2 linked regions of the Cricetulus griseus genome follow. The protein of the gene in region 1 binds, or shares a complex with, the protein of each later gene. Links are inferred from orthologs where the notes say so. Each region holds a gene or a part of one and is shown on either strand. Other genes may lie near its edges. The genes, in order: Vps54 and Vps52.

Evidence for each region.
Region 2: Vps54 (region 1) and Vps52 share a complex: the UniProt entries of both Homo sapiens proteins name them as parts of the golgi-associated retrograde protein (GARP) complex. The link is inferred for Cricetulus griseus from reciprocal best matches to the Homo sapiens genes VPS54 and VPS52.

The regions. Positions count from the first base shown.
Region 1 is NW_023276807.1:85,248,011-85,251,829, reverse strand, and holds part of Vps54 (vacuolar protein sorting-associated protein 54), read left to right. Parts: intron 1-78; coding exon 79-175; intron 176-1,364; coding exon 1,365-1,702; intron 1,703-3,819. UniProt on the Homo sapiens protein: Acts as a component of the GARP complex that is involved in retrograde transport from early and late endosomes to the trans-Golgi network (TGN).
Region 2 is NW_023276806.1:232,053,995-232,057,813, forward strand, and holds part of Vps52 (vacuolar protein sorting-associated protein 52 homolog), read right to left. Parts: intron 2,908-3,819; coding exon 2,840-2,907; intron 2,622-2,839; coding exon 2,446-2,621; intron 2,019-2,445; coding exon 1,868-2,018; intron 1,480-1,867; exon of another isoform or gene 1,376-1,479; intron 1,098-1,375; coding exon 997-1,097; intron 916-996; coding exon 783-915; intron 663-782; coding exon 605-662; intron 1-604. UniProt on the Homo sapiens protein: Acts as a component of the GARP complex that is involved in retrograde transport from early and late endosomes to the trans-Golgi network (TGN).

The sequences.
Region 1 (3,819 bases):
TAATATTTAGTATCTTTCCCTTCATCTTATAGATGTTACCATATTGGTACAGTTATTTTTGTTTAAATTTTTTTATAGACTTGCAGATCAAATGAGAATGTTGAATTTTCCCCAGTGGATTGATCTGTTAAAGGATATTTTCTCTAAGTTTACAGTTTTCCTACAGAGAGTTAAGGTAAGCTTACACATCAGTTGCCTATAATAGCTCTGAAATTCAATCAGCTTTCTGGACAGAACTCATAGAACTGAAATGTATTTGGATGTAGGTCAGCCTTTATGTACATAATGATGTCTTTAAGCCTTGGTTTTAGTTTCTTTCGTTTCCCTTAGTCTGTCTTCATGATTGGACTCACTTGGCGTCCACTGATTTTGGATTTGAACTTGGAGTCTGCTTCCTTAGAGTCATGTCCACTCCCAAAAAGAAATCAAATGCTTGAGAGAGGAAGTAGTGTATAATGAGATTTGCAACCATGAATGTCAAAGTCCCTTATATCTTAATAGTTCATAAAGATACTAATTTATACGAACTATTTTTCATTCACCTAGCTTGCAGTGTTTATTGAGTATATCCTCTGTATCAAGTACCATTGTTTAGGATATTAACATTGAGGCAGATCTAACAATGTAGCAGAAAGAGACCAAATAAATAAAAAGATAATTTTAAATGATAATAAATATCCTTAAACAACAAGCAAAACAAAACAAAACCCACAACGAAACCACCACTGTGTAGTGGTCTAAAGCTGTTGTAGAGAGTCAGGGAAGGTCTCTTCGAGAAAGCTGCTGTTTGTGACAGAACCCAAGTGATGGGAAGGACAGTGTGCAAAGGTCACAGTGAGGAGCACTCTCTGCAAAGGAGGAAGCGTTGCGTGAGAACAGTCTTGGGATGTTCAGACAGAGAAGGAGCTGGCTGTCACAGTAGCCAACCAGTGAGAGAATGTTGATGTAAGAGATGGACAGGCCCTGGGAATACTAAAGGACATAAGTTATTTTTCTTTAAGCAGGCATATTTACTACTATTAAGTTTCTCTGAGAGACAGGTTATATCTGGTACAGCATGTTCAAGAGGTTAGTGAAATGTATAGTGTGTTGTAGGGAAATTTCCATAACAAATGAGTTGGAGAGTAGGTACTCTGATTTCTAAGCTGTAGTGAACCTGCCTCACTTGTGCTGTTTGCCTTCACAAATCACTGTTACTGTACAATTCAAGACTGATAAAAATTGTAACAGTTGTTATGGGACTTTGATGCATTTATGATCATAGATGTTCAGAATTGTGTCTACATAATAAACTTTTGTTAATCTTAGGTTCATGATATTTAAATGCATCGTTCTAAAACATGTCCTACGTTTTCTTTTTGTAGGCAACATTGAATATCATTCACAGTGTTGTTCTCTCAGTTCTTGACAAAAACCAGAGGACTAGAGAACTGGAGGAGATTTCACATCAGAGGAGTGCTGCAAAGGACAATGCCTTGGACACAGAGGTGGCTTATTTGACCCACGAGGGCTTGTTCATAAGTGATGCTTTCGGGGAGGGTGAGCTAGCACCTGCAGCAGTTGATACTACCTCTCAGAGAAACACATCTCCAAATAGTGAGCCCTGCAGCAGTGATTCAGTATCTGAACCAGAGTGTACTGATTCTTCATCCAGCAAGGAGCAGACATCTGCATCTGCTACACCAGGAGGCATAGATGTTATGTGAGTGTAGTTGCTTTTGTGACAATGATAACTCTTTGAATGTTTCAGTAAGATTGAGAATTCAATTTAGTTTTTAAAATGTAACCTTTTTGTCTTGGAACTAAACTGTATTCTATGAAAATATACTTCAATTTGAAGACATGTAGAAGGTGTGGAGGTGAGCCTTGGAGATAGTGGAGACATTGTAGGACTTCAGACTGGTGAGGAACTTGAATTATTTAATGGATGTCCTCATTTCAGCACTGTGGTAATAGATTCCCAGGAAGCTTAGGAGATTTATGTAAAGTAAACAGAACTGTTCCTGGAACCCATGTCCAATACTGTTCTGGCAATTTTTCTCTGCCGTCTCTCTGTTCTGCTACTTTCTTATTTTATAATAGTAAAGATGTATTTGACTTACATGTCTGATTTTTTTCAAAGGCATGAGTTTCTTAGTGGATCACATTGCTTTTAAAAAAAATCATTTGTAAAAATGTGTCTTGGAATTATTTCAGGTTTACAGAATATTTGCCATAGCAGTACAAACACTAACATATCCTTCATCCAAAGTCCCCAGTTCTGAATAGTACCACACAGTAAACTGTACAGTTTCCCTCTTTTTCCTTCTTTACCTTTCCCGTTTTCTTTGTGTCTACAATCAGACATGATGCCTCTTTATCCCAGATACTAGAGTGTGTAATTACTAAAGCAGAACATTCTTTTACATAATCCAATTACTGTAGCAGTTAAGTTAATTAGATAATTATTCCCACATAGACCACAATCTTAAGTTTACCAGGTAGCCCTATAATATCTGGTATCTAAAAAGACAAAACAAAACCTATAATGCTTTAATTGTTAGTATTGTCATTTACACATTAATCTACTTCTGGTCCAGAGCTCATGGAGCTCACATTTTACTTGAGGTCAATTTATTAGACTTTTCCTTCCTACCAAAACAATAGCTGAACTGCGTTAGTAAATGTATATTTTATTTATATTTATTTTAGTATATTTTTCTGTGTTCAGGATCATATCTTTATATTTACTATTTATAATTATTGCTATTAAAATTCTGTGTCTTGACTGGGCATGGTGATGCATGTCTTTAATCCCAGCATCTGGTAGTGGGGTGTGGGAGGGTGGCAGAAGCAGGTGAATCTCTGTGAGTTCAAAGCCAGCCTAATCAGAAGATAAGACCTTATTTCAATTAGAAATTTGAACTTTTAAATTTGAGTGAGTTCTTTTGTTGGAGTTGGTATTAGTACCAGACTGTTTATCTAGAAATTGTTTTGAGCAATGCAGAGTTAATTTAGTCAGTTAAAAGAGGACCTTGAGTTTTATACGGGAACACAGCTGGTTGTGGTGGCATGTTCTTGAAATCCCAGAGCTGGGGAGGCAGAGACATGTAAATTCCTGTGGCTCAGAAGCCAGCCAGCCTGGCCTTCTTGCTGAGCCAATGAGAGGCCCTGTCTCATACAGAGGTAAATGGATGCTGAGGAAGGAAACCAAAGGCTGCTCTCTGACTCCATTTGCATCCACCACATCCGTGTACTTACACCCCTCCCCCCATACACACACACACACACACACATACACACACACACACACACACACACACACACACACACACACACACACTTACTTATATTGCTGAGGAAGCTTAATGAATTAGAGACCAATTCTGGTTTTAGTCTTACTCTTGCAACTGTGGGTACACAAACTACTGAGGTTTGGTGTCTACCTGCCTCAGTATGAGAACTGAACAGGAGTGTCCTGAGAGTACTTTGATGCTATTAACCCTGCATTATTTTAAGGCATTAATAGCTAAGTGTGGTGGCATTATAATTTTGAGGGACAACAAATGATAACTTTCATCAATATCTTAACCCAGTTAGAGTAGTAAGTTGCTTCTAAGCAATAGAAATCAGAGTCTGAATAATTGTGTTATTCAGACAAAAGGGTTATAAGTGACACAGACACTTGACTTGGCTTATGATGACACTAAACTGAACTGTTGGCATAGAATTGGTGGCCTTTATGGTATGTTTATTTTAAAATAGGAAAATCTTACATTTCTCCTCAAAATATAAATACAGCTGTTGAATACAGTTTTTTGTTTGTTTGTTTGTTTGTTT
Region 2 (3,819 bases), on another chromosome or scaffold:
GGAGGTGGAGCTTGACTTGAGAGGGGTGGAGCCTGACTTGAGGGAGGTGGAGCCTGACTTGAGGGAGGTGGAGCCTGACTTGAGGGAGGTGAACCTGACTTGAGGGAGGTGGAGCCTGACTTGAGGGAGGTGGAGCCTGAATTAGGGAGGTGGAGCCTGACTTGAGGGAGGTGGAGCCTGACTTGAGGGAGGTGGAGCCTGACATGAGGGAGGTGGAGCCTGACTTGAGGGAGGTGGAGCCTGACTTGAGGGAGGTGGAGCCTGACTTGAGGGAGGTGGAGCCTGACTTGAGGGAGGTGGAGCCTGACTTGAGGGAGGTGGAGCCTGACTTGAGGGAGGTGGAGTCTGACTTGAGGGAGGTGGAGTCTGACTTGAGGGAGGTGGAGCCTGACTTGAGGGAGGTGGAGCCTGACTTGAGGGAGGTGGAGCCTGACTTGAGGGAGGTGGAGCCTGACTTGAGGGAGGTGGAGCCTGACTTGAGGGAGGTGGAGCCTGACTTGAGGGAGGTGGAGCCTGACTTGAGGGAGGTGGAGCCTGACTTGAGGGAGGTGGAGCCTGACTTGAGGGAGGTGAGCCTGACGCGAGGCTCCCTGGTCCAGGATATCTTTCTTTGCTGTGTCTTCCACACCCATCAGATCGTCCTTCTCAGCAACTTCCTCGTACTAGAGAAAACAACAGAGAGCTCAACCATGGCTGCCCACCACCAGCAGGTGAGGAACTCAGTCCCTCCTCCAAGCCCCTGCCTACAGACACCTGTCCCCGCCTGTCCCTGCCTGGCTCACCTGCACTTTCATGAGCCGCCCCAGATAGGAGCGGAAGTAAGACAGGTAGATCTTGCTCAGCGTCTCCACGTACTCATCCCTGATCTCCTTGGCTGTTGCTCGCTCGTTGCCCAACAGGAACTGATAGAAGAACCTGGAAGGGCCAGGGCGAGTCAGACCCTGGACATCCATGCTGGGCCGTTAAGAAGCTCACAGGCCGTCCCGGGGTGGCGACCTGTACTTCAGCAGGGCCGTCTGGGGGATCTGATAGTTGGTCATCGGCTTTCTGAATGAATAAATCTTCTGGAGGATGAACTCTCGGATCTTCGTCACCGCCTAGGTGAGGGGACAAACAGGTCATGATGTTGTGGGCTCTTACTGTGTGGAGGAAGGAGGAGACAGACGTGACGGCGAAGGGGAGGGAGAGAATACTTCCGATGTGTGCTGTGTTATTATTTATTTACTTTTGTTGAGTCGGGGTTTCTGTGTGTAGTCCAGGCTGTCCTGGAACTCACACAGGTCCATCTGCCTCTCCCTCCCCAGTGCTAGGGCTAAAATGTCTTACCACCATGCCTGGCCTCACATTTTCAGGTTATCTGTTTCTTTTTTCCCTTTTAAATATGGAATGCTTTATCAATTTTTGTGTCCTTACACAGAGGCCATGCTAATCTTCTCTGTAGTGCTCTAATTTGAGTTTCTATGCTGCCAAAGCCAGCACTGTTTGGTTTTGAGACAGAGTCTCATGTACCTCTGTACACACCGGAAGTATTCTCTCCCTCCCCTCCACGGTCCTGTCTGTCACCTCCTTCCTTCCTTCCTCACAGTAAAAGCCCACAACGCCCTGTGCCGCAGAGATCACTCTGAAGCTTCAGATCTTCTTCCTGTCATCTCATGAGTTCTAGCACAGTAGACAAGGGCCACCATGCCCATGTTTGCAGAGCTGGGGGTGGATCCCAGGGCTTCGGGCGCCCTAAGCAAGCCCACTACCCGCTGAGCCACAGCTCCAGCCTCTGTAGATTTTCAGGGAAACCAGAGGGCCAACGATGCCCCGCACTGAGGGGAGCAGAGTGAGTTCCTGGGGTTGATTCTAGCGGTCCCCTCCCCACCTTGACCCGGAGCCGGTCCAGCACGCCTCTGACGTCTGCGCAGGCCGCTGTGCCTCTGGCCTCCTGCTCTCTGACCGCAGCTGCCTTGGCGTCCAGTTCCTGCAGCTGTTCCAGAAACCTGGGCTCTGTCACTGGAGCTTCCAGAATGGCTCTGCAGAGCAGGGAGGAGAGGGGTGATCTGAAGGGGCACTCGACAGTCCTGAAACAGACGCAAGCCACACCCCTCCTGACATGTCTACCTCTCCTCAGTCTCATACCTTCATCATAGGTACGAAGATTTCAACTCCTGAGCCCCACCTCTCCACAGGCCCCGATACACATCTGACATTATAATCCATCCATTAATCTCTAGAATGCACCTTTTTTTTTTAGAAGGTCCCACTCTGTGGCCCAGGCTGGTGACTTGCAGCAATCCCCCTGCCTGACCTCCCAATCGTGTGCTTACAGGCTTGAGCCAGCACACCTGGTACCTAAACAGCACTTGACAACCTCAGCCTGGACCTATGTTGTAGACTGGATAGGTACCCCAGCTCAACCACCTGCTCTGGACATCACGACCCTTCAAACCATCGACTCACGTGACCAGAGTAGAGGGCACCACCAGCCCATCTACAAGTTCCCCAAGCTTCCCCCGAACAGCTTGTCGATTACGAAGACGGATGTTCATGGCTCCTGACTGCTCCTGAAGGGTCCGGATCTCAGAGCTGATGGAGCTCAGGTCGCTCTGAAAAGCTCCCAGCATCTGCTCCATGCGCTATGGGAAGGGCAGAAAACACTGTAGGCATGCCACAGGGTTGGCAGGGACAAGTGTGTCACCCAAGTGTCTGAGTGAATACCCCAGTATCCAACAGCTCAGGAGCATGGAAAACCTCCATTTGCCCAAGGAAACAAAAGTGCTGACAAAACAAAAAAACAAAACAAAACAAAAAAAAAAACAGAGGGTGTCAGGGGCCACAGGGGAGGGACACCTACCTCCAGGACAGCGTCGCAGGCTGTGATCTGATTGTGCAGGGACGCTATGTTTTCACTCTCTTGGATGTCTGACCCACAAAAGTCAAGGGCTTCACAGTGAACACAGAGCTCTGAGGACCAGCATCGCCTCCCCCTAGTGTCCCCAAAGGGACCGAGAGAGATGCCACCCTACCGGGTTACCTGCATCACAGCTCCCACACCCCAGGTCAGTGACAGCGCGTGTCTTCCCCTGTGCGTTGGATACAGTCCCGGGGTCCCACACCCCAGGTCAGTGACAGCGCGTGTCTTCCCCTGTGCGGAGGATACAGTCCTGGGGTCCCACACCCCAGGTCAGTGACAGCGCTCTCTTCCCCTCTGCGGAGGATACAGTCCCGGGGTCCCACAGCCCAGGTCAGTGACAGCGCGTGTCTTCCCCTGTGGGGAGGATACAGTCCCGGGGTCCCACACCCCAGGTCAGTGACAGCGCGTGTCTCCCCTCTGCGGAGGATACAGTCCCGGGGTCCCACACACCCCAGGTCAGTGACAGCGCGTGTCTCCCCTCTGCGGAGGATACAGTCCCGGGGTCCCACACCCCAGGTCAGTGACAGCGCGTGTCTTCCCCTGTGCGGAGGATACAGTCCTGGGGTCCCACACCCCAGGTCAGTGACAGCGCTCTCTTCCCCTCTGTGGAGGATACAGTCCCGGGGTCCCACAGCCCAGGTCAGTGACAGCGCGTGTCTTCCCCTGTGGGGAGGATACAGTCCCGGGGTCCCACACCCCAGGTCAGTGACAGCGCGTGTCTCCCCTCTGCGGAGGATACAGTTCCGGGGTCCCACACACCCCAGGTCAGTGACAGCGCGTGTCTCCCCTCTGCGGAGGATACAGTCCCGGGGTCCCACACACCCCAGGTCAGTGACAGCGCGTGTCTCCCCTCTGCGGAGGATACAGTCCCGGGGTCCCACACACCCCAGGTCAGTGACAGCGCGTGTCTTCCCCTGTGC